Saccharomyces cerevisiae S288C: one gene and its partners. Each later gene encodes a partner of the first gene's protein in a complex. Each region holds a gene or a part of one and is shown in the gene's direction. Other genes may lie near its edges.

Evidence for each region.
Region 2: the proteins of SPC98 (region 1) and SPC97 are in contact, whole or in part, in a cryo-EM structure (PDB 7M2W), measured with the Saccharomyces cerevisiae proteins. Residues at the interface, in NP_014273.1 of Saccharomyces cerevisiae: Ser163 (codon at 5,342), Ser164 (codon at 5,345), Val165 (codon at 5,348), Thr166 (codon at 5,351), Leu167 (codon at 5,354), Arg168 (codon at 5,357), Leu170 (codon at 5,363), Ser171 (codon at 5,366), Tyr174 (codon at 5,375), Tyr175 (codon at 5,378), Asn177 (codon at 5,384), Thr178 (codon at 5,387), Asp203 (codon at 5,462), Glu205 (codon at 5,468), Gln206 (codon at 5,471), Ile207 (codon at 5,474), Gln208 (codon at 5,477), Ile209 (codon at 5,480), Pro210 (codon at 5,483), Ser211 (codon at 5,486), Lys212 (codon at 5,489), Ile213 (codon at 5,492), Pro214 (codon at 5,495), Asn215 (codon at 5,498), Phe216 (codon at 5,501), Ser218 (codon at 5,507), Gly219 (codon at 5,510), Leu220 (codon at 5,513), His222 (codon at 5,519), Leu223 (codon at 5,522); in NP_012042.1 of Saccharomyces cerevisiae: Met1 (codon at 3,459), Glu2 (codon at 3,462), Ile3 (codon at 3,465), Lys4 (codon at 3,468), Glu5 (codon at 3,471), Asp8 (codon at 3,480), Arg9 (codon at 3,483), Ala10 (codon at 3,486), Glu11 (codon at 3,489), Leu12 (codon at 3,492), Thr16 (codon at 3,504), Ile19 (codon at 3,513), Pro20 (codon at 3,516), Leu21 (codon at 3,519), Leu22 (codon at 3,522), Gly23 (codon at 3,525), Lys24 (codon at 3,528), Leu25 (codon at 3,531), Val26 (codon at 3,534), Asn27 (codon at 3,537), His28 (codon at 3,540), Gln29 (codon at 3,543), Pro30 (codon at 3,546), Leu31 (codon at 3,549), Trp32 (codon at 3,552), Asn35 (codon at 3,561), Pro36 (codon at 3,564), Lys37 (codon at 3,567), Leu38 (codon at 3,570), Phe41 (codon at 3,579).
Region 3: the proteins of SPC98 (region 1) and TUB4 are in contact, whole or in part, in a cryo-EM structure (PDB 7M2W), measured with the Saccharomyces cerevisiae proteins. Residues at the interface, in NP_014273.1 of Saccharomyces cerevisiae: Lys478 (codon at 6,287), Met483 (codon at 6,302), Gly484 (codon at 6,305), Lys485 (codon at 6,308), Ser486 (codon at 6,311), Asp487 (codon at 6,314), Met489 (codon at 6,320), Asp490 (codon at 6,323), Ile493 (codon at 6,332), Glu494 (codon at 6,335), Leu522 (codon at 6,419), Ser524 (codon at 6,425), Arg526 (codon at 6,431), His527 (codon at 6,434), Leu528 (codon at 6,437), Ser531 (codon at 6,446), Pro532 (codon at 6,449), Arg533 (codon at 6,452), Asn534 (codon at 6,455), Lys594 (codon at 6,635), Asn597 (codon at 6,644), Tyr598 (codon at 6,647), Gln601 (codon at 6,656), Met604 (codon at 6,665), Leu605 (codon at 6,668), Lys606 (codon at 6,671), Asn608 (codon at 6,677), Asp609 (codon at 6,680), Ile611 (codon at 6,686), Arg612 (codon at 6,689); in NP_013313.1 of Saccharomyces cerevisiae: Met1 (codon at 1,729), Gly2 (codon at 1,732), Thr44 (codon at 1,858), Glu45 (codon at 1,861), Arg46 (codon at 1,864), Asp47 (codon at 1,867), Asp48 (codon at 1,870), Asp49 (codon at 1,873), Thr50 (codon at 1,876), Lys51 (codon at 1,879), Asp131 (codon at 2,119), Cys159 (codon at 2,203), Pro163 (codon at 2,215), Lys164 (codon at 2,218), Lys165 (codon at 2,221), Ile166 (codon at 2,224), Glu196 (codon at 2,314), Asp197 (codon at 2,317), Ser198 (codon at 2,320), Asp199 (codon at 2,323), Pro245 (codon at 2,461), Ser246 (codon at 2,464), Tyr247 (codon at 2,467), Met248 (codon at 2,470), Tyr249 (codon at 2,473), Ser250 (codon at 2,476), Ser251 (codon at 2,479), Ser253 (codon at 2,485), Ser254 (codon at 2,488), Tyr256 (codon at 2,494).

What each region holds. Positions count from the first base shown.
Region 1 is NC_001146.8:382,372-393,073, forward strand, and holds SPC98 (Spc98p), read left to right. Parts: upstream 1-4,855; coding exon 4,856-7,396; downstream 7,397-10,702. Other genes in the region: TEP1 (putative phosphatidylinositol-3,4,5-trisphosphate 3-phosphatase), read left to right, coding at 1-1,292; FAR11 (Far11p), read left to right, coding at 1,616-4,477; ESBP6 (Esbp6p), read right to left, coding at 7,775-9,796; NAF1 (RNA-binding snoRNP assembly protein), read left to right, coding at 10,521-10,702. UniProt on the Saccharomyces cerevisiae protein: Involved in microtubule organization by the microtubule organizing center, the spindle pole body (SPB). Probably part of the microtubule attachment site at the SPB.
Region 2 is NC_001140.6:444,877-455,577, forward strand, and holds SPC97 (gamma-tubulin-complex subunit SPC97), read left to right. Parts: upstream 1-3,458; coding exon 3,459-5,930; downstream 5,931-10,701. Other genes in the region: ribosome-binding protein NMD3, read left to right, coding at 1-508; ATG7 (Atg7p), read left to right, coding at 837-2,729; YHR173C (uncharacterized protein), read right to left, coding at 5,939-6,277; phosphopyruvate hydratase ENO2, read left to right, coding at 6,451-7,764; CTR2 (low-affinity Cu transporter), read left to right, coding at 7,996-8,565; YHR175W-A (uncharacterized protein), read left to right, coding at 8,682-8,831; FMO1 (N,N-dimethylaniline monooxygenase), read left to right, coding at 9,353-10,651. UniProt on the Saccharomyces cerevisiae protein: Involved in microtubule organization by the microtubule organizing center, the spindle pole body (SPB). Probably part of the microtubule attachment site at the SPB.
Region 3 is NC_001144.5:564,360-568,009, reverse strand, and holds TUB4 (gamma-tubulin), read left to right. Parts: upstream 1-1,728; coding exon 1,729-3,150; downstream 3,151-3,650. Other genes in the region: CRR1 (putative glycosylase), read left to right, coding at 88-1,356; ATG38 (Atg38p), read left to right, coding at 3,479-3,496, 3,556-3,650. UniProt on the Saccharomyces cerevisiae protein: Tubulin is the major constituent of microtubules. The gamma chain is found at microtubule organizing centers (MTOC) such as the spindle poles or the centrosome, suggesting that it is involved in the minus-end nucleation of microtubule assembly.

The sequences.
Region 1 (10,702 bases):
GGAGTGAATTAGAAATGGAAAAAGGCTTCCTTAAATGGAAACCAGTCAACTTGATGAAGAAAATATTGTCTTTACCAATGAAAAAAACTAAAAACGATATAGGTTTGAGATTAGATATATCATATATTTTAGTTAATCTAATAGTCTGCTCATACCCGGTAAACACGTATCCAAAACTGCTTTATAGGAATAGCTTGGATGACTTAATATTGTTTCTAACAGTGTACCATGGCAAGGGAAATTTTAGAATTTTTAATTTTAGAGGTGAGAAAGAAGACAGCGATTATAAAGATAATGATCTTATTGGTATCGCTGCCAAGTTTGAGAGCAAAGATTTTGAAATTCAAGAATTACGTTCGACGCTGATTAATGATGGAAAGATACCAATATCACCCATTGATCTCGAAACAAGGACCTTGGTCGAAGAAGAAACCAATAATGTAATTTGTGAAAGGATCGGTTGGCTAGATCATTTTCCACCGCCATTTGAACTGCTGGAAGAGATTGTAGATGGTATAGAAAATTACCTGTCCGTTTCGAAGAATAGAGTGGCTGTTTTACATTGTCGAATGGGGAAAGGCCGATCTGGTATGATAACAGTAGCATACCTCATGAAATACTTGCAGTGTCCTCTTGGAGAAGCAAGATTGATATTCATGCAGGCTAGATTCAAGTATGGTATGACGAATGGCGTCACCATACCCTCTCAATTAAGATACTTAAGGTACCATGAGTTTTTTATTACCCATGAAAAAGCAGCCCAAGAAGGAATTTCTAATGAGGCGGTAAAATTCAAATTTAAATTCAGGCTTGCTAAAATGACGTTCCTCCGCCCATCAAGCTTAATCACTTCCGAGTCTGCTATTGTAACTACTAAGATTCAACACTACAACGATGATAGAAATGCCCTCCTAACCCGAAAAGTAGTATATTCAGATATCATGGCGCATGAATGCGGTGGTAATATGACCTTCATTTTTGGTAGGGACTACTTAACACTGGAAAATGATTGTCGTATAGAATTTACCCTGGGGACCAGCAAGTCCAAAGCCGCCAGTAGCATAATATCTTGGACTTCATGCGCCAGCTGTTGGCTGAATATATACCTTGAGACTTTGATGCACATAATTAAAGACGATTCTTCGCCAGATTACTTTCAAGTAGAGAGGTTAAAGAGAGACGAAATGCTTGGGACAACCATAAGCTGGCAAGAGCTGGACGGTTTTGGGGAGCTCAGCACTCACGGCTTGAAATTATTTCAGGCACTGAAATTGGAATGGGAAATTATATAGGTTTATGCATTTCGTCAAATCCATTCATTCGTTAAACTTAGTTAAAAGTGTTATATTTATTGTGAATTGGTTTGTTTTGGTAGGCTTTTTTCTATATTATGTATTCTTTTCCTTTTCTTCAATATTCTTGTATGGTACTTTAATTTACTGGCAGGTATTTTTTGGAGCGGTCAATTATATGAATCAAAACGCCATTCTAGAAACAGGAAGAAATATATGAGAACCAAGGAGTAGGTTGAAAGGCATTGTAGAGAAATTTTATTAGTATTTATAGCCGAAGAAGAAGGTTAAGTGACAAATTTTCATTTATAAGCCTCGCTAAAATGAATGCTAGTGGAAGATCTCATTCCAAAGGCCCCATTATAAGGTCTGTGTCTTTAGAAGATCTTAAGAGAAACTCTAGTTTCAAAGGCAATCTAAAGTACAAAGATGAAGTCACTTCACATAAAGAACCACAGGTCGGAACATTGAGCAACGAAGAACTGCTAAAAGATTTGGACAACATGTTGCGCGGTAAACTGAACATGGGAAGAAACAGTTTTCATGCCGATAAAAGAAATAAATCAGATGGAAATATCAGTGCCTTAACCTTCAAGGCAAGATCAGGTCTTGAGGGAGATATTCGTACCATAGATATACAGCAAGATAGTAGTGATGAAAATGATAATTTTAAGTTCAGTGATGATGGCGTTAATAAGGATAGAAATAATGAGAAAGATAATAATACTGATAACGCCGTTGAATTTCAAGACGATGCTGAAGAAGCTGAAGAGGAGAATGAGGATGAATCATTTGCTAATGTAGATGAACTGGATGGCTTTGATTTGAATAAGGTTTCTGATGGCAAGCATGTTCCTATCAATGAAAAGGGCGAAGTTGATTATAATATGCCGGTAGATAAAGAATTTCAGAAATCACTTGACCAGTGCGCAGCTTCACTTGAGGAAAGATCAAGTGCACCTTATGCTTTACAAAGAGCAGTGGACTGGGAATTGAAGATGTTTTATTCTTTGGAAGATGAACTGTCGGAATGGTTTTGCAGCTCTGATTATATGCATTTTGGACAGACACAGACTCTGTTTAAACAGAAAATTACGCAACCACAATTATTCTTTGATGATGAAAACTATGCTGCGAGCGTAGTTGAATGTTTAATTGAAGACATCCCCAATTCTTTAGCATCTAATTTACTCGCATTATCATATATTTCTATGGGATGCTTTGCGTTTACGAATAGCAAAAGTGAGCATACAAAGATTATACGACGCAACAATTTAATGCTTGTTCCTCATATTCAAGAAATTGTTCATGCCTTCAAGAAGATTGCAATAAGTTGTAGGGATGACAACAGAAATTTAAAGAAACAAACAATTTTGCTATTTCATTCGTCAACAATCCTATACTTCATATGCAGTATTTGTATAGAAGGTAGAGGAGAAAATCCGGAAGCAGTAAATGTTGTTATCGACGCTTTTGAGAAAACAGATTTGTTGGAATTTTTAACAAAGTATATTGAAAATTGGAGGTGGAATAGCAGATTAGCTATGCGCATAAGAAATATGATTTCTTTGCTCTTCAAGCTTATTGTATTACAATTTGGTGACAGTTCTGTCTACAAACAGACCAAATCATCTATTTATAATCTCCATGGCTTAACATATCCATCAAAGCATCCAGAAAAGCTTTCTATCTCCCCATTACATTATCAAGCATTCAGGGAGGACATTACTTCCCGTTTTCCTGATTACAATATGCCCAGTTCTGGCTTACCTAAAGATGTTGACAAATCAGAATCTCTTTCCCAGTTTCTGGAAATTCCTCGTCCAAAATCAAAGAATCCTCTAAATATGGCGCTCATTGTTCCTGAAAAACATATTGCTACACCTGCTCCTTCACCGCCAAGCTCTCCACAATTAATGCATTTAGGTGAAGGTCCTAGACCTCGTAAATCTTTCCAAACAAACATGGCATATCCGTGTTTGTATCCATCTGATAATGAAGGATCTGAAGATGACACTCTGGAAGATAGGATAGATTTAAATATAGAGAGAAAACCTGATAACGATATAGTTATTCCATTCAGTACCGAAGAGGCAGCGAGAATATTAAGCGAGAGTTTAGAAATTAAGCTGAGTACAAAACAACTTTGGTACGAAAGGGACTTATTCATGATAACTGAACGTGGTTGGAAACAGCAATTAGAAAATGAGCCATATGATTATGCCGCGCTTAATCATGATGCAAACTCTTCAAAAGAGGAAAAAAGTGCGATTTGCATTATGCAGCGAATTGACAAATATTATAAGAGCTGCCTTTCGAGCTTTAACTCTCTTGTTTTTGTCTTACTGCAAACAATGGAATCAAGCTTGACAAATAACTTTCATAGGAAAAGTGAAGTCTCCGATAAAAATCTTCTAAATATGCTGACACCCCAATTGGAGATCGTGAGAGCTAAGGAATTGTCCCTAAAGTCAGCAGCGGGCATATTACATGCGTTATTGAAGTGGTTTAAGTTAAGCCATATTTTGAAATTTGAACACTTGGCGGTAGTTATTCACGATTCGCGATACATCAACACATGCGCATCTATTTTAAGCAAATATTCTGAGGTTTATCCAGAGAGGGTTTTCAATAAATATGTACAAACCCCGAATTCATTTTGGAAGGAGTGTTCTCTCTCTAACGAGTCTTATCGTGAATCCTATTCAGTAGATGACTCAGGAGAGGTCGACACGGAGATTATGCCTTCGTTTGCATATCTGTTAAGAATCTTGAGAAAAGTCACAGGGAATAAAACACAAAGGTTAAAGGAGCTGCCCCTCTCCATCGGCATTCTATTTAAACGCTATTATCGGCTCTTCAACCTTGACATGTATCATCCAATATTGAAAATAACAAGAGAACTCACACCATTCAAAAACAAGAGGTGGAAATCCGAGCATATGGAATTGATATCGGGGGTTTACCTTTATGAAAAGCTGGAGTTAACTGATAATTGGGTAACAGGGAAGGATATATCAGGAGAGTTGAGCGATGCTTGTGGTCAAGAAATTGCACTCCGGGCCTTGCTTCAATTTTACAATTTTCAACACTATGAAATATCTATGGAGGACCTTGGATATGGACACCGTAATAGTTCCAGCCAAGATCTGTTAAACAAGGAATCCGAGTATTTGAATATTTAAATCTCTACTTACGGATACCGAGGCTCGGGGCGCGATGTTATTGTCATTAACAATCTCCTATCCCTCCCTATGTTTATATAGTTTTCAATGGAGGAGCATGAAAACCCCTTAAATAGTGTTTATTTGATCGCGCAATGGTGATGATTGGATCTTCATATCACAAGTGGGATACTAGGACAACCGTTGTTGGATTTCTATTATCATAATATATACGGGTAACGATTTTTGATGCGTCGCGTTTGTAAACAAAACTAAACAAAACAAACAAATATACTCATTTGATGGCTTCATCTGCATATAAGAAATAGAAGAGCCAGAATACTAAGCATAACCATAATATATATTACAGTCTATTTCAGTTGTAGCTGAAAAATCAATATGGAACTAGAGCCCACTCTTTTTGGTATAATAGAGGCATTGGCTCCTCAATTATTGTCGCAGAGTCATTTGCAGACATTTGTATCTGATGTAGTCAATTTACTGCGATCATCCACCAAATCGGCAACTCAATTAGGCCCTTTAATTGATTTTTACAAATTACAATCACTAGATTCGCCTGAAACAACAATTATGTGGCATAAAATTGAGAAATTTCTCGATGCTTTATTTGGAATCCAGAACACCGATGATATGGTAAAGTACCTCTCTGTCTTTCAATCTTTGCTTCCATCAAATTACAGAGCAAAAATTGTCCAAAAATCATCTGGGCTCAATATGGAGAACCTTGCTAACCATGAACATTTACTTAGCCCAGTGCGGGCTCCAAGTATATATACAGAAGCTTCATTTGAAAACATGGACCGATTTTCTGAAAGAAGGTCCATGGTATCTTCGCCTAATCGTTACGTTCCCTCTTCAACCTACAGTTCTGTTACTTTGAGACAGTTGTCAAATCCTTATTATGTGAACACTATACCCGAGGAAGATATCCTAAAATACGTATCATATACATTATTAGCTACGACATCGGCACTATTTCCGTTTGATCATGAGCAAATACAAATTCCGTCTAAGATACCCAATTTTGAGAGTGGACTTTTACATTTAATATTTGAAGCGGGTTTATTATATCAAAGTTTGGGTTATAAAGTGGAGAAGTTTAGGATGTTGAATATATCTCCAATGAAAAAAGCATTGATTATAGAAATTTCAGAAGAATTACAAAACTACACAGCATTTGTGAACAATCTGGTCTCTTCAGGGACAGTAGTGTCATTGAAATCGTTATATCGTGAAATATATGAAAATATAATAAGGCTTCGAATATACTGTAGGTTTACAGAACACCTTGAAGAATTGAGCGGAGATACATTCTTGATTGAATTAAATATTTTCAAATCCCACGGAGATCTTACTATAAGAAAAATAGCAACGAATTTGTTTAATTCAATGATTTCTCTTTATTATGAGTATTTAATGAATTGGTTGACTAAAGGTCTACTCCGAGCTACTTATGGAGAATTCTTCATTGCTGAAAACACTGATACAAATGGTACAGACGATGATTTTATTTACCACATTCCTATAGAGTTCAACCAAGAAAGAGTTCCGGCCTTCATACCGAAAGAGTTGGCATATAAAATATTCATGATCGGCAAATCGTATATCTTCCTAGAAAAGTACTGTAAAGAGGTTCAATGGACAAACGAATTTTCTAAAAAGTATCATGTCCTGTACCAGAGCAATTCTTATCGGGGAATATCAACGAACTTTTTTGAAATTATAAATGATCAATATTCTGAAATTGTTAATCATACTAATCAAATTCTAAATCAGAAGTTTCATTACAGAGACGTGGTATTTGCGTTAAAGAATATTCTTCTCATGGGTAAATCTGATTTTATGGATGCTCTTATAGAAAAGGCCAATGATATTCTCGCGACACCATCGGATTCATTGCCAAATTATAAGTTAACAAGGGTTTTACAGGAAGCCGTGCAGCTTTCTTCCTTAAGACATTTAATGAATAGTCCCCGTAATAGTTCTGTCATTAATGGATTGGATGCGAGGGTACTCGATCTTGGACATGGATCCGTGGGTTGGGATGTTTTTACTTTAGATTACATCCTCTACCCCCCTTTGAGTTTAGTATTAAACGTAAATCGTCCTTTTGGCAGGAAAGAGTATCTACGAATTTTCAATTTTTTATGGAGATTTAAAAAGAACAATTATTTCTATCAAAAGGAAATGTTGAAGAGTAATGATATAATCAGATCATTCAAGAAAATCAGAGGTTACAACCCGCTCATCCGTGATATTATCAATAAACTTTCTAGAATCAGTATACTTAGAACTCAATTCCAGCAATTCAACTCGAAGATGGAATCTTATTATTTGAACTGCATTATAGAGGAAAATTTTAAAGAAATGACCCGGAAACTGCAACGCACAGAGAATAAAAGCCAAAACCAATTCGACTTAATTAGATTAAATAATGGCACCATAGAATTAAATGGGATTTTAACCCCAAAAGCTGAAGTACTAACAAAGTCTTCAAGCAGTAAACCCCAAAAACACGCAATCGAAAAGACGCTGAATATTGATGAATTAGAAAGTGTACATAACACGTTCTTGACGAATATTCTTTCTCATAAGCTTTTTGCAACTAACACAAGTGAAATAAGCGTTGGTGATTATTCTGGGCAACCATACCCAACTTCATTGGTTTTACTTTTAAATTCGGTTTACGAGTTCGTCAAAGTTTATTGTAATTTGAACGACATTGGATACGAAATCTTCATTAAAATGAATCTCAATGATCACGAAGCATCTAACGGATTATTGGGAAAATTTAATACGAATTTAAAGGAAATTGTTAGCCAGTATAAAAATTTTAAAGACAGACTGTATATTTTTAGGGCAGATTTAAAGAACGATGGCGATGAAGAGCTTTTCTTATTGAGCAAATCGCTCCGTTAAGAAATGATCCCGTCCCGTTTTTCATTTATAATAAATTTCCTCCACGCAGGTTTAATGTATAAGTTGTAATGGTAGCAAATGATTTACAGATTTATTTGCAAGTAAAGAGACTCTTTTTTCGTTTTGTTTTTCCTGGATCCGCAACACAAAGTGTATTACATATGGATACATGGAATATCTTTACAGTGCTAAATATATTAGGTTAAAAAAAGGTCGTTTTCTGTAAAGAATGCTTTTTCAGCGTTAACTTTACGTCTTTTTGATAATAAAGAAATTTAATTAGGTGAAGCGGAGATATTGAATATTATGTACTAATGATATGATGAGTAGGCGACGTAACTATCGCGTATATAACATGAATCAGGTCGTCGAAAAGAACTAGACCTTCATTGGATATACCATTCTTAGGAAGTATTTTTTAATGCCCGGACCTAAAAGAAGGTCATATTTAGTCTTTCTTTCTTTTAATTTACCCCAATCTTCATCGGCAGAATCGGTATCGTATTCGCTTGCCTTCCATTCTTTTAACTTCTCGTTTGTCATAGCTTGTCTTTCCGTTAATTTCATCCTGATAGAATATTCACGAAGGATAGAAATTAAAATTAGTGCGGCAATAAAGCAGCAACCGCAAAAAATTTGTGCATGTAAGTAAGGATTGCTCTTATCTTTCTCCACCGTCAATGCCTGGGCAATCACCTCACAAACCAATAAGAAAGGCGCACCACAGTAGTTGACGAAGGCCCAAGCGGGCAAAAACTCTTCTGGTTTAACCATATCGGCAATCAGAACGGTATTCATGACGTTGGCGACACCAACGCATGAGCCAACTAGAATTGAAAAAAAGATGAGTTGAACAAACGTATGAGCGGGGATCCAGAACGCAAACATATATATTGTTAACAAAGTGGTTAATACGATCGTTACGTTTGCCCTACCAAACTTATCTCCCGCTAAACCCATCAGAGGTCTTCCGATGGATTGCGAGCCGTTCAAAATGGCAGTCAATGTGGAAGCGTCGTGCGATGATAATCCTTTCGAGATTGCGTATGAAGATAAAGTAAAAACCATCATATTGTAGGCAAATAATGCGAACATGAACCATAATGCAATAAGTACCACAAATGGCTTAGTTATAACCTTTAATGAAAACATTGCTTTGAGCTGTTCAAACATGGCCCGAGGCGATTTCAATCCTATGGCAGGTGTAGGGTTTCTTTCTTTTAAGAGCGCAATAGCAACTAGAACACTTATGCTACACGATATGCCTATGATACGAAGGCACCACCGGGTATTTCCAAAGTCAGAAAGCATTTTGTTTGTAGCCAAACCGTAAACGACACCACCAGCACCGGTACCCAATAATGAGACACCCATTGCGACAGCTCTTTTTTTCAAGAACCATCCTGGTAAGACGGTTGTTGCTGGAACGAAAATCAGTGATATTGAACAACCGACCATAAAACCTTGGGTGACATACAATTGCCATAACTTGGTAGTAAAGGAGGCCAAGAGATATGCGGCAAGCATTACAGCATCACCAAAAAGCATGGTGGTCCGCAGACCAATTATTCTCATCAGTGCCATCACAAGGGGGGATAAGAGTTGACCGAGAAAGACAGTTAGGCCAGCAATTAAGGCATAATCGTACTTCGAAGCACCAGGGTAAGTATCATGGTTTAAGTAGTAGGCAAGGTCGACACCGAAGGATGCGTTGCAGCCCCACGTGGAAAACATGGTCAAGAACACACAGAATGTCACGACCCAGCCATAACCACCGTCGGGGGGCAGTTCCAGCTGCCCGGTAGACTTGTTGGTGAATACTTTTTTTACAGTCGGTTCATCAGGCTCGAATTCGGTTATTCCTTGGGCCTCAAGATCCTTACCGGAGTGTTTCGTGGAAGCCGGATATAGTCTATTCCTCATGAGTTTGGAGTCCATGGAAGCTTTATGTTCTGTAGTATCATTTTGAATAGAAGAAGCAGAGAAAGCAGAGGAAGATGGTGCCGACAACGAGGCGCCTGCAGTCGTGGTGTGTGTGACTGGGATGTTTAACTTTGACTGGACTGACTCATTGTGCTGTAGCCTAATGGCATCGGCCACGTCAAATCTAGATTCTAATATTTTATTAACGTCTGCGGAATTTTCTTCCGTCTGCAAGTTGTCGTCATCGACAGCCTTTTTAATGTCGTTGAGCCGATTAGTTAACGTCCTACTAATAGACAATTTTCTCGATGCATCGTTCGACTTGGTGCTGTGTAGATCAGAGCATGGAACCGGAGCAGCAATAGAAGCCTTAGAGAATGATACAGGCTGTGAAGAGTTTATCGAAGAAACCTCGGACGATGTCTCAGAGACCATTCCGGAAGAAGCAGAAAAGTAGTCGTTTGAGTGCGTTGACATTTTTCAGATTTATTTTCAGAAGCCCCGTAATTATACCTAAAGAAAAAGTAAAGAAAAGTGGAGAAAACAAAAGAAAAAGATAAAACTTTTAAATATGTGGTGTGACAAATGCAAAATACTATTCTGACTCGCACATTTAACTAACAAAAGAAAATTTGTCTAAGTCTAGCAGCTTTGGTAGAATATAGAAGAAACAGTCTAGTTTTGGCTCCGATATGAGTGGACAAAGCATCAAGATCTAAGGAATGCCAAGTATTTATCCAGGTTCTCCCGAAGACTTTTCTTCAATAGCGGCGGGGGTTTTTTTTTTTTGCAGATTGCCGAGATAGCCCGCGGCAAAGATACGTTATCTCGGTTATCGTCGGCAAGCGCTATTGTAACTAGATATAGGAAACTGTGGTCTGCAAAGATGCGGTATAAGGCCTCCGTCTGTTCTTACTGCGTTATCAGCCTTTGACAGTTTTAGTTCGTCAGGGTCTTTGACCAAATGATAAATTCCCTGGTTTACATTTTCACTAGTTTGTTCTCGAGCAATGCTTAGTTGGCACATAAATGAGTCAGGCACTACCACTCGGGTAACGGTCTGCGCGTTTCTTTTTGCGGCCATGAAATTTTTCAGGCGATGAGCTTAAAGGTAAAGGAAAAAGATGGTAGGATGATAGGTAGGATGAAGCGGTATGAAAGTGGAAGAAGCACAATATAGCACGTCGAAACAGTGCTAATCATGAGCGATGACTTGTTTTCTAAGGCTTTGGAGAATCCCGACCAGGACTTGAACGTGGAATTGCCCAAGGATGATGTTGATTTAGGTCTTTTAGGTGATGGTGGGAACGAGAGGAAGACCGATGAACCGGTAGCAGACGCAGAAAGATCAACAGGCCTAGGATCCGGCTCTTCTGAATCCGA
Region 2 (10,701 bases), on another chromosome or scaffold:
CCAAGTCTACTACGTCAGGTCTCATCTCGGTGGTATTTGCCATGCAGGTGATAGTGTTATGGGTTATTTCATTGCAAACTCGAATTACAACTCAGATCTTTTTGATGGGTTAAATATCGATTATGTGCCTGATGTAGTTCTTGTGAAGAAATTGTATCAAAGAAAGAGCAAAAAGAGCAGACACTGGAAGTTAAAGAGAATGGCTAAGGAACACAAAGATATCGATGCATCCTTAGATTACAATTCAAGAGCTCAAAAGCAAGAAATGGAACGTGCAGAAAAGGACTACGAATTATTCTTACAAGAATTAGAAGAGGATGCTGAATTAAGACAAAGTGTTAACCTATACAAAAACCGCGAAGCAAATGTACCTCCTGAAGAGCATGAAATGGATGAAGACGAGGATGAAGACGCTCCACAAATCAACATTGATGAATTATTGGACGAGTTAGATGAAATGACATTAGAAGATGGAGTCGAGAACACACCCGTTGAATCTCAGCAGTAAAAAAACACCAAAGAATGGAGAGTAGTATATACTCTTAACAAACACTAGCATTTCAGTTTATCTATATACATATATATGGATGTAAAATGTACTTTATGGAAGAACAAGCCACCACATGTTGAAAACTAGATAGGCAAGCAAGATTTTTCATTTGTAGAGCTCTTACGCAAGATTTTTAAACTTCCGCTTTTTTAATCCATGAGATTCCTTTGGACACCCTTTCCGGCACGGCAAAACAAAAAAATTAAGGGAACTCATTATTTTACGATGCTACTTAGATAACTAAAGTTCATTATATTTCAACAAATATAAGATAATCAAGAATAAAATGTCGTCAGAAAGGGTCTTAAGTTATGCACCAGCTTTTAAATCATTTCTGGATACATCTTTTTTCCAAGAATTATCGAGATTGAAACTCGATGTTCTGAAATTAGATTCAACATGCCAACCACTTACTGTGAATCTAGATTTACACAACATTCCTAAATCTGCTGATCAAGTTCCATTATTCTTAACAAATAGAAGCTTTGAAAAACACAATAATAAGCGTACTAATGAAGTGCCTTTACAGGGCAGTATTTTCAATTTTAATGTATTAGACGAGTTTAAGAATCTTGATAAGCAACTATTTTTACATCAAAGAGCATTGGAATGCTGGGAAGATGGAATAAAGGATATCAATAAGTGTGTTTCTTTTGTGATTATTAGTTTTGCTGACCTAAAAAAGTACAGGTTTTATTACTGGTTAGGTGTTCCCTGTTTTCAAAGACCCTCTTCAACAGTTTTACATGTGCGGCCAGAGCCGAGTTTAAAAGGGCTGTTCTCAAAGTGTCAAAAATGGTTTGATGTCAATTACTCAAAATGGGTGTGTATACTGGATGCAGACGATGAAATAGTAAATTATGACAAGTGTATTATTCGAAAAACTAAAGTTTTGGCGATAAGGGACACTAGTACGATGGAAAACGTCCCTTCTGCTCTAACCAAAAATTTTCTCAGCGTGTTGCAATACGATGTTCCTGACTTGATAGATTTCAAACTATTAATTATTAGACAGAACGAAGGTAGCTTTGCATTAAATGCTACATTTGCTTCTATTGACCCACAATCATCCTCAAGTAACCCAGATATGAAAGTTTCTGGATGGGAAAGGAATGTGCAAGGTAAGCTAGCACCACGTGTTGTTGATTTAAGTTCATTGTTAGATCCTTTAAAAATTGCTGACCAATCCGTGGATTTAAATTTGAAGCTAATGAAATGGAGAATTCTTCCTGACTTAAATCTAGATATCATCAAAAACACAAAAGTACTACTACTAGGTGCTGGTACACTAGGTTGTTATGTTTCACGCGCATTGATAGCATGGGGGGTTAGAAAAATAACATTTGTGGATAACGGTACAGTTTCATATTCAAATCCAGTGAGGCAAGCGTTATATAATTTTGAGGACTGTGGAAAGCCAAAGGCAGAACTTGCGGCTGCGTCTTTGAAAAGAATATTTCCTTTAATGGACGCTACTGGTGTGAAATTAAGTATTCCTATGATCGGTCATAAATTAGTAAACGAGGAGGCTCAGCATAAGGATTTTGATAGATTAAGAGCATTAATAAAAGAGCATGATATCATTTTTTTATTGGTGGATTCTCGAGAAAGCAGATGGCTTCCGTCGTTATTGAGCAACATCGAAAACAAAACCGTTATTAATGCTGCTCTGGGGTTTGATAGCTACTTAGTTATGAGGCATGGTAATAGAGATGAACAGTCTTCAAAACAACTGGGCTGTTATTTTTGCCATGATGTGGTAGCACCAACTGACAGTTTAACTGACAGGACTTTGGATCAAATGTGCACAGTAACTAGACCCGGCGTTGCTATGATGGCCTCTTCTTTAGCAGTTGAATTGATGACTTCCTTACTACAGACCAAATACTCTGGTTCAGAAACAACAGTATTAGGGGATATACCTCATCAAATACGTGGGTTTTTGCATAATTTTTCCATCTTAAAATTAGAAACTCCAGCCTATGAGCATTGTCCAGCATGTAGCCCTAAAGTTATCGAAGCATTTACAGACTTAGGTTGGGAATTTGTTAAAAAGGCCTTGGAGCATCCACTTTACCTTGAAGAAATTAGCGGTTTGTCAGTCATAAAGCAGGAGGTCGAACGACTAGGCAACGATGTTTTTGAATGGGAAGATGATGAATCTGATGAGATTGCTTAATATTTTGCATATAATAGCATTGGTACATATTGTGGTGCCACTTTCCGTAATTAAGCTACTAAATTTTTGACTCTAACGTTTATAACATTGAATTATTAAAATGATCTTGCTATACTATTTTGCATACATTATTTTTTGTAGTTTTAACAAGAAGACAAATTCTTGACTTTACTCACAAAACATAAACATAAAATGTAATAAAGTCCTCAATGTTCACCGTATTTTTCAAAAAGGATCAGTGAAAGTGTCGGTAAAGCTACCTTTTTGATACTTTCTTTTTATGAGAATAAGTTGTATTTCTTTATTATGTATGATACGGGCGTTCAATCAATACGTTTTAAGTTCGTTGCTGACGGCTAAGAAATTGGTAAGAGGAGTAGTTCCATCAATGTCTAAAGTGATATGATAAAAACTATACGATTTGAAGATCTATGCGTTCACTTCACGTATCCAAGTTTCCCCTCCTAATAATTCACATTAATTTGGCATTCATATCTAAAGCGTTGCTATTACCCTTCCCCTGGTAGTCGCGGAACAACAAAAAACGCCAAAATAAGTAATGAAAATGTAAACAAAAAGGAACTAAGTTGAAAAGTCATCGAAAGCGATACCACCTGGTTCTTTCTTCATTATAGACTAATTGTTGCGTGCCAAGAAGTTGTTTGTGTATCCATAATATTTATTATCAAACTGATCTAAGATTGCTTTGTACACATCTTGCGTGAAAAAATGGAAATCAAAGAGGTAGATGACAGGGCAGAGCTACTGAGATATACCAACAATATTCCGTTACTTGGAAAGCTAGTCAACCATCAACCATTATGGAGTACAAATCCTAAGTTAAAGTCCTTTTCGCTAGAAAAAATATCAGCCCCTGATCAAAGGCGTGTACAAGAGGCATTAGTTGTAAAAGACCTATTAAATGTATTGATTGGACTTGAAGGAACATACATCAGATATTTTAATGATTATGAACCTAGTGACCCAGAGACACCGATAGAATTTAAGATTGCCAAGAAAATGGATCCATCATTCAAAACATTCAGTAGAAGAATTGTTAGGTATGGTAAGCAATACATGATATTAACAAGGGCGTATGAAAAATGGTCTGACACAAGCTTTGGGATGGTTTTGCAAAGATTTGCTTATGAAATCAGAAGATTCTTAGAAGACGTCTACTTAAAAACGTTAGTTGAAAGGCTTGAAAGGGACTTTAACAAAGTGCCAAACTTTTCTATCAGAGAACTAGAACAAATCATTAATGAAACAGAAGTAAACAAACAAATGGAGTTGCTGTACAATATTTATGAAGAAATTTTTAGAGAAATAGAAGAAAGAAGGACGAACCAATCTTCACAAGAAGATTTCAATAATTTTATGGACAGTATGAAGAATGAAAGCAGCTTGCACTTACGATTAATGGTAGCATTTGACACAACAGTATATCCGGTACCCAAAGGTGGTGCCATATTGAAAATTTTTCAGCAAAAAATACTGGAAAATTTGGGTGATAGGTCAAGCGTAATGTTTTTGAAGAAGCTATTGAATAATATAAGCCAAGACTATTGCACAATGCTGTATGAATGGCTAACACAGGGTATTTTAAACGACCCTTACCAAGAATTCATGACTTATGATGATTTGGAAGGTAAGACGGATAACATATTTGACACAAGAGACAGAGCGTGGGATACGCAATACTTCATAAGAAAAGATGTTTTGTTGCGGGATTGTGACTCAGAAGAGGATAAGAATCTACTATTCAAGATGTTAAGGACCGGTATTTTACTCAAAGTTGTTCGAGCTAGCTTACAAATACCCACCATACCTTCTAATAGCAGTGATATAACCATTCAAGAAATCAATGATTTCGCTGACTTAATGGAGGGTTCTAATCTTGAACTTTACGTGGATAAATGTTACAGCAGAGCCAATGAAATATTTTTAAAGCTATTTTTTCAAGGTTACGATTTGATCAATGTATTAAAACATTTGCAACAAATTTTTCTTGGGTATCAATCTGGTCATAATGTTTTAAAGTTTCTAACAAAAAATATGGGTGAGTTGACCAAACACTACAGGAATGATAATAATGCAAACTATGACAAGCTGCTACAAAATTTTGAGTTAGAGAGACAATCCGAAAATCCAAACAACCTGATGAGGCAACTCCTGATGATACAGTTCGATACAGAAACACTTCCACAAGTCTTATCGCACTACCTCCAAATTTATCCAGAAGTACCTGAGAATAACTCAGCAAATGACGACAGCGACCCATTGATGCACGCGAATAATTTCAAGAATATGAATGCCATTCTTTTTGATGAATTAAGCAAAGAACGAACGGGAGCCTACCATGGATCCAATCTAGAACTATATACTCCAAAAAGCGCAATTTATCATTTAAAATTTGACATCAACATACCTTATCCATTGAATATTATTATTAGTAGGACATGCATGATAAAATACCAAATAATCCTGCGCTACCAACTAGTTTTACAATACCACTCAAGGCTTTTGGATGAGACTTGGATGGACTTAAACAAAACACCCAGCTGGAAATACAGAGGCTATTCGCACACTGTGAAGAGGAGGATAGTAAGGGCAACGAGAGTGCTGCATGCTAAGATGAACCACTTCATTAAAACCATCATGGAATATTTCAACCAAAACGTAATTGATAAAGAGGTATACTCATTAGAAAAGTGCTACAGAAATCCTACTCTTGCCGTTGCCATCCAAAATGAGCTAGAAGGTGGATTAACAAATATAATGACAAATCGTTGCTTGTCTGACTTGATTCCACTACAGTTACAAATATTTGACATTGTATATAAGTTTTGCAAGTTCATCAAATCTATGAGAGCAAAATTATGTCAACTGGACCCCGTACTATATGAGAAACACAAAAGCGGGATGATGAAAACACTAAACGAAGGCTATCGTACAAACAATGGCGGTCAGGAAGATGTTGGTTACCAAGAAGATGCCGCCCTGGAATTAATTCAGAAGCTGATTGAATACATTAGCAACGCGTCCAGCATTTTTCGGAAGTGTCTCATAAACTTTACTCAAGAGTTAAGTACTGAAAAATTCGACTTTTATGATAGTTCAAGTGTCGACGCTGCGGGTATAGAAAGGGTTCTTTACTCTATAGTACCTCCTCGCTCAGCATCTGCTTCTTCCCAAAGATGAACGCGGCGTTATGTCACTAACGACGTGCACCAACTTGCGGAAAGTGGAATCCCGTTCCAAAACTGGCATCCACTAATTGATACATCTACACACCGCACGCCTTTTTTCTGAAGCCCACTTTCGTGGACTTTGCCATATGCAAAATTCATGAAGTGTGATACCAAGTCAGCATACACCTCACTAGGGTAGTTTCTTTGGTTGTATTGATCATTTGGTTCATCGTGGTTCATTAATTTTTTTTCTCCATTGCTTTCTGGCTTTGATCTTACTATCATTTGGATTTTTGTCGAAGGTTGTAGAATTGTATGTGACAAGTGGCACCAAGCATATATAAAAAAAAAAAGCATTATCTTCCTACCAGAGTTGATTGTTAAAAACGTATTTATAGCAAACGCAATTGTAATTAATTCTTATTTTGTATCTTTTCTTCCCTTGTCTCAATCTTTTATTTTTATTTTATTTTTCTTTTCTTAGTTTCTTTCATAACACCAAGCAACTAATACTATAACATACAATAATAATGGCTGTCTCTAAAGTTTACGCTAGATCCGTCTACGACTCCCGTGGTAACCCAACCGTCGAAGTCGAATTAACCACCGAAAAGGGTGTTTTCAGATCCATTGTTCCATCTGGTGCCTCCACCGGTGTCCACGAAGCTTTGGAAATGAGAGATGAAGACAAATCCAAGTGGATGGGTAAGGGTGTTATGAACGCTGTCAACAACGTCAACAACGTCATTGCTGCTGCTTTCGTCAAGGCCAACCTAGATGTTAAGGACCAAAAGGCCGTCGATGACTTCTTGTTGTCTTTGGATGGTACCGCCAACAAGTCCAAGTTGGGTGCTAACGCTATCTTGGGTGTCTCCATGGCCGCTGCTAGAGCCGCTGCTGCTGAAAAGAACGTCCCATTGTACCAACATTTGGCTGACTTGTCTAAGTCCAAGACCTCTCCATACGTTTTGCCAGTTCCATTCTTGAACGTTTTGAACGGTGGTTCCCACGCTGGTGGTGCTTTGGCTTTGCAAGAATTCATGATTGCTCCAACTGGTGCTAAGACCTTCGCTGAAGCCATGAGAATTGGTTCCGAAGTTTACCACAACTTGAAGTCTTTGACCAAGAAGAGATACGGTGCTTCTGCCGGTAACGTCGGTGACGAAGGTGGTGTTGCTCCAAACATTCAAACCGCTGAAGAAGCTTTGGACTTGATTGTTGACGCTATCAAGGCTGCTGGTCACGACGGTAAGGTCAAGATCGGTTTGGACTGTGCTTCCTCTGAATTCTTCAAGGACGGTAAGTACGACTTGGACTTCAAGAACCCAGAATCTGACAAATCCAAGTGGTTGACTGGTGTCGAATTAGCTGACATGTACCACTCCTTGATGAAGAGATACCCAATTGTCTCCATCGAAGATCCATTTGCTGAAGATGACTGGGAAGCTTGGTCTCACTTCTTCAAGACCGCTGGTATCCAAATTGTTGCTGATGACTTGACTGTCACCAACCCAGCTAGAATTGCTACCGCCATCGAAAAGAAGGCTGCTGACGCTTTGTTGTTGAAGGTTAACCAAATCGGTACCTTGTCTGAATCCATCAAGGCTGCTCAAGACTCTTTCGCTGCCAACTGGGGTGTTATGGTTTCCCACAGATCTGGTGAAACTGAAGACACTTTCATTGCTGACTTGGTTGTCGGTTTGAGAACTGGTCAAATCAAGACTGGTGCTCCAGCTAGATCCGAAAGATTGGCTAAGTTGAACCAATTGTTGAGAATCGAAGAAGAATTGGGTGACAAGGCTGTCTACGCCGGTGAAAACTTCCACCACGGTGACAAGTTGTAAAGTGCTTTTAACTAAGAATTATTAGTCTTTTCTGCTTATTTTTTCATCATAGTTTAGAACACTTTATATTAACGAATAGTTTATGAATCTATTTAGGTTTAAAAATTGATACAGTTTTATAAGTTACTTTTTCAAAGACTCGTGCTGTCTATTGCATAATGCACTGGAAGGGGAAAAAAAAGGTGCACACGCGTGGCTTTTTCTTGAATTTGCAGTTTGAAAAATAACTACATGGATGATAAGAAAACATGGAGTACAGTCACTTTGAGAACCTTCAATCAGCTGGTAACGTCTTCGTTAATTGGATACTCAAAAAAGATGGATAGCATGAATCACAAGATGGAAGGAAATGCGGGCCACGACCACAGTGATATGCATATGGGAGATGGAGATGATACCTGTTCGATGAATATGCTATTTTCGTGGTCATACAAGAATACGTGTGTCGTCTTTGAATGGTGGCATATCAAGACCCTGCCTGGACTGATTTTAAGTTGTTTAGCAATTTTTGGTCTAGCCTACCTCTATGAGTACTTAAAGTACTGTGTCCATAAGAGACAATTATCCCAGAGAGTATTGTTACCAAATAGATCTCTGACCAAGATCAACCAAGCCGACAAAGTGTCCAATAGTATTCTATATGGTTTGCAAGTGGGATTCTCATTCATGCTCATGCTTGTATTCATGACTTATAATGGTTGGTTAATGTTAGCTGTCGTGTGTGGGGCAATATGGGGTAATTACAGCTGGTGTACTTCGTATAGTCCTGAGATAGATGACAGCTCCCTCGCCTGCCATTAAGATGGTGACAAATATTACAAATTTGATACTATTTGTATCTATTTTGTTTTTATCCGGGATTTTTCGTATTTCTTCCTCATTCATACCCTTCCCTTTATTTGTTCCCACTGAGTATAATGATAAACTACGTTAACATTACATGTATAATATTTAGCACTCGTACGTTACTAGTCTTTGACACAAGTTTATATATCCCCCCCTTTATGTTATCGTTTATTGGCTACAGCCTCAGTAATCAAAATAGTCCACTATTTCTATATCATTAACTTCTGCGTCGCCAAGATGTTAATCATGAAACGATCTAGTTCTTCAACAGTTTGCCAGCGACCATTCGAGCTAATCTTGAACAAAAGTAATACTATTTAAGGGTGGGCGCGGGTTGTTATACCGTTTTGAGACGATCTACTATAACGTTATATTTAATTATATAAGTGATGAATTTAATGTCCCGTCCACAACACGAAATCGCACCTCATTTCAACGCGGCAAGTATTAATGTTCTGCTTTATGAAAGATTCCATGAACCCTTTTCTACCTTTTAAATTCCTCTTTTCACTCTTAATCACATGATATTACCTTTACATAGGAAGCGCCAGACATCTTTTTGCCGAGAAAAGCCATTATGCAAGATAATCCTGTAGCCTCATATCAAGGATAAATGCCACTGCAAAAACGCAGTCGTTATTTGGGACTGTATTTAAATGGGCCACTGTTTTTATACAAGTCGAAAATACAATAATACAGAAAATTCAAGCAGGAAGCGAGAAATAACAAGAAGTAACTAGGCATGACAGTGAATGACAAAAAAAGATTGGCAATCATAGGTGGGGGGCCAGGAGGGTTGGCAGCTGCAAGAGTTTTCTCGCAAAGTCTTCCAAATTTTGAAATAGAAATATTTGTAAAGGATTACGATATTGGCGGTGTCTGGCATTATCCAGAACAAAAAAGTGATGGGAGGGTCATGTATGACCATTTGGAAACCAATATATCAAAGAAGTTAATGCAGTTTAGCGGCTTTCCCTTCGAGGAAAACGTCCCTTTATATCCGTCTCGAAGAAACATTTGGGAATACTTGAAAGCCTATTACAAAACGTTCATTGCCAACAAAGATGCTATCAGCATCCATTTCAGCACCGAAGTTACCTACTTAAAGAAGAAGAACTCTCAATGGGAGATAACATCTAAAGACGAACTAAGGACTACTAAATCGGATTTTGACTTCGTTATTGTTGCGTCTGGTCACTACAGTGTCCCTAAACTACCAACTAATATCGCAGGTCTCGATCTATGGTTCGACAATAAGGGCGCCTTTCATTCTAAGGATTTCAAAAACTGCGAGTTTGCCCGTGAAAAAGTCGTTATTGTGGTGGGAAACGGCAGTTCCGGCCAAGATATTGCCAACCAACTAACTACCGTTGCAAAGAAAGTATATAATAGTATAAAAGAGCCTGCGAGCAATCAACTGAAGGCCAAGTTAATCGAGACTGTCCAAACAATAGACAGTGCCGATTGGAAAAATCGTTCAGTTACTTTATCTGATGGAAGAGTACTTCAGAATATAGACTACATTATTTTCGCCACAGGCTATTATTACAGCTTTCCATTTATAGAGCCCTCCGTTAGACTGGAAGTGCTAGGTGAGGGTGTTACTGGCGACAAGCACTCGTCTGTCAATCTGCACAATTTGTGGGAGCACATGATCTATGTAAAAGATCCTACGCTGTCCTTTATCTTGACCCCGCAGTTGGTCATCCCGTTCCCGTTGTCGGAACTACAGGCGGCTATTATGGTCGAAGTATTCTGTAAAAGCTTACCGATAACTACAACTTTCGACTCTAATGCCTGCGGAACGCACAACTTCCCAAAGGGAAAGGACCTGGAATACTATGCAGAACTACAGGAACTACTGAATAGCATTCCACGTAGGGTCGGTCATTTCGAACCAGTTGTATGGGATGATAGACTGATCGATCTAAGAAACAGTAGTTATACAGACAAAGAAGAAAGAAATGTGCTTCTAGCGGAACACGCACAAGCCCTAAAGAAAAAAAAAGCACCATACTTCCTTCCGGCGCCACATACTTAACGTAAAAAGGAATGTACTTGTATAGAAAAAACACATATTGTGCCGCTTAA
Region 3 (3,650 bases), on another chromosome or scaffold:
CAGCTAATAATTATCGATTAATAACGAAATACAAGAACAGTCGTTTAGTTTAGAGTATCATCAAGGGCTTTTGCACGAAATAAAAATATGAGAATATCAATATTACAGCTGGTGCCGGTTGTTGGCTACATCGGATTTGCACTGGGAGAATTATACAAACCCAAAAACTCCATTTCTTGTTCTCCAAATAACCCTTGTCCCGCAGAATGGCCGTGCTGCTCGCCGTATAATGAATGTGGCGCTGGACCGATATGTGTCGGTGGCTGCAACGTGAGGTCATCTTTCGACGAGGAAAGCTGTGCTCCTATACCTGCATTAGTCGCCAGTCAAAAACTTGAATTTGTTAGCACACCAAAGGTTCCTAAATTTATTGTGAACTATCAACCTAAGCCACCAATAAGAGAGGGAAATGGACCGAATAAGGCAAATACCAAGGTGGGTGTAGTAGAAGGGGAGCTAAATTCCAAGAGAATCATACACTACGCCAAATTCTTGGTCACTCCAGACAGTAAAGAGGCAGAGAAAATGTTGGAAGATTTCGATTTCACACATAGCGGCTACACATCAATTGAAGCGAGTAGCGGGAATATTGTTCTGGCTATGCCAAAAAAAACTACCGGAAGTTTGATCACATCGACCAGGTCGTTTCTATACGGCAAGGCAAGCGTGCGAATGAAAACGGCGAGGTCGAGGGGTGTGGTGACTGCATTTGACTTAACATCCGCAATTGGGGACGAGATTGATTTTGAGTGGCTGGGTGGTGATTTAATGACGGCCCAATCAAACTACTATTCTCAAGGGCATTTGGATTACACAAGAATGCAAAGATTTCCCGTAGGCGCTGACACTTGGGCCACTTACCACACTTATGAGATTGATTGGGACCCGGATAGGATAATATGGTATGTTGATGGTAAAATAGCTCGCACAGTCCTGAAGAAGGATACCTGGGACCCCATTAGTAAAGAATATAGGTACCCACAAACGCCGATGAGACTAGAAATCGCTGTTTGGCCAGGCGGCTCGGAAACCAACGGACCCGGTACAATAAACTGGGCAGGTGGCCTCATAGATTGGGAAAATTCACCCGATATTATCGAAAAGGGCCAATTTACGGCGCATGTTGAACAAATCACCGTAACGCCGTACCAAAATAAATTCACAGAACAAGTGCAGTTTTGTATAAAGGCAAAGAAAAAGGCACCAACCTTTTCCCAAAAAGATTTGTCAAGAGTAGTCGTTTCGTATAACAGGCAAGACAGACTGAATCATCATGATGAGGGGTCTCTCAAATGGGACTGCTTTGTTACTCCAAAGATAAATGACTGGTTGAGTTCTTGGAAACGGTCAAAATAGTCACAGCAATAATGTCTTACGAAGTTCTCTCTTCCGTAACGGATCCTCTAATTCCCTGCATGAAGGCACGCTCTAATATATATGTATACATTCTTTAGTTCAAACCTTTCAAGAAACACAAAATGCACCTATTTTCCGCATTGCAATTATTACTAATTTCCTAAAGCAAATATTTACTATTCTCCCATTATAACGTTCTCTCTTTGTTACCCTGACATTCAGAAAATATCACCGGGTAACAGAACGCGTTAATATTATCTTTTGGGAAATTTCATTAAATGTAATAAATAATAATCGTAACAGTAGCTGCGAAATGAACAAATGCGTAATATCGGTTAGTCACATGTATAAGAATTCAACATATAACTATCTATGGGTGGAGAAATTATTACTTTGCAAGCAGGTCAATGCGGGAACCACGTTGGTAAGTTTCTCTGGTCTCAATTGGCGAAAGAACACGCTATAGGCACCGATGGGCTATCTCAGCTTCCTGATTCCAGTACGGAAAGAGATGATGACACAAAGCCTTTCTTCCGCGAAAACAGTAGGAATAAGTTTACGCCAAGGGCTATTATGATGGATTCCGAGCCTAGTGTCATCGCCGACGTGGAGAACACATTTCGTGGGTTTTTCGACCCAAGAAATACCTGGGTAGCTTCTGATGGCGCTAGCGCTGGTAATTCTTGGGCCAATGGGTATGATATAGGAACTCGTAACCAGGATGATATTCTTAACAAGATCGACAAGGAGATTGATTCTACCGACAATTTCGAAGGTTTCCAGTTGCTGCACTCAGTAGCCGGAGGGACCGGTTCAGGGCTCGGATCCAACCTCTTAGAAGCGCTGTGTGATCGATATCCTAAAAAAATACTCACGACATATTCTGTGTTCCCTGCAAGATCTTCTGAGGTTGTTGTTCAATCTTATAACACTATTCTGGCTTTGAGAAGACTGATAGAAGATAGCGATGCAACGGTGGTGTTTGATAACGCTTCGTTGCTGAATATTTCCGGTAAAGTGTTTAGAAATCCGAACATCGATTTACAACACACGAATCAATTGATATCGACCATAATATCTTCAGTAACGAACAGTATACGGTTTCCGAGTTACATGTATTCATCCATGTCCAGTATTTACTCTACCTTGATTCCTTCTCCTGAACTTCATTTCCTAAGCCCTAGTTTCACTCCATTTACATCAGATTATATTCACGATGATATAGCGCATAAAGGCCATTCCAGTTATGACGTCATGTTAGATTTATTAGACCCTTCCAATTCTCTTGTCTCTACCGCGATGAACAATCCAACATATTTTAACGTTTATAATACAATCATTGGTAATGTAGAACCTCGTCAGATATCGCGTGCTATGACCAAATTACAACAACGCATCAAATTCCCCTCATGGTCCTCTTCTGCGATGCACGTTAACATTGGAAGAAGATCGCCATACTTGCCTTTACAACCAAATGAAAACGAAGTTAGCGGCATGATGTTAAGCAATATGTCTACCGTGGTGAACGTCTTTGAGAATGCGTGCAATACTTTTGACAAAGTATTTGCCAAGGGCGCATTTTTAAATAATTATAATGTAGGCGACTTGTTCCAATCAATGCAGAACGTTCAAGATGAATTCGCCGAGTCAAGAGAAGTAGTACAAAGCCTGATGGAGGATTATGTAGCTGCAGAACAAGATTCGTACTTGGACGATGTACTTGTTGATGATGAAAATATGGTTGGCGAGTTGGAAGAGGACCTGGATGCCGACGGTGATCATAAATTAGTATAATGATGCCTTCCTTGTTCAGGAATTTTACCACCGCCCAATAGTTTTATTATAGTACTCTCAATATATCTATACCAACAACCGCTTCAAATGTATTATCTCCCTTTATAAATTCTGCACTGTATTGTAATATGTATAAAGCTCTGTACCACTTTTTCATCATTGCATACATCGATAGCGCCTCTTCAACTTTAGAATTTCCTAAAGGGTAGAAAAACCAGATGATTCAACTCAGCGTAATGGAACGCTCTGTTTGAAATAAAAAACATCTGTATCGCTGCACGGATTAGTTCGATAATTCAACGACAGTTATACTAATCTTGGTGATGGAATGAGTACTTTAGCGGAAGTAAGTTTTTGAATTATGCCCCCACTTTTTTTTTGTTCATGGTGACTAACATGAATTAGGTTTATACTATTATTGAGGACGCCGAACAGGAATGTCGAAAAGGAGATTTTACAAATGCAAAAGCGAAGTATCAAGAAGCCATTGAAGTTTTAGG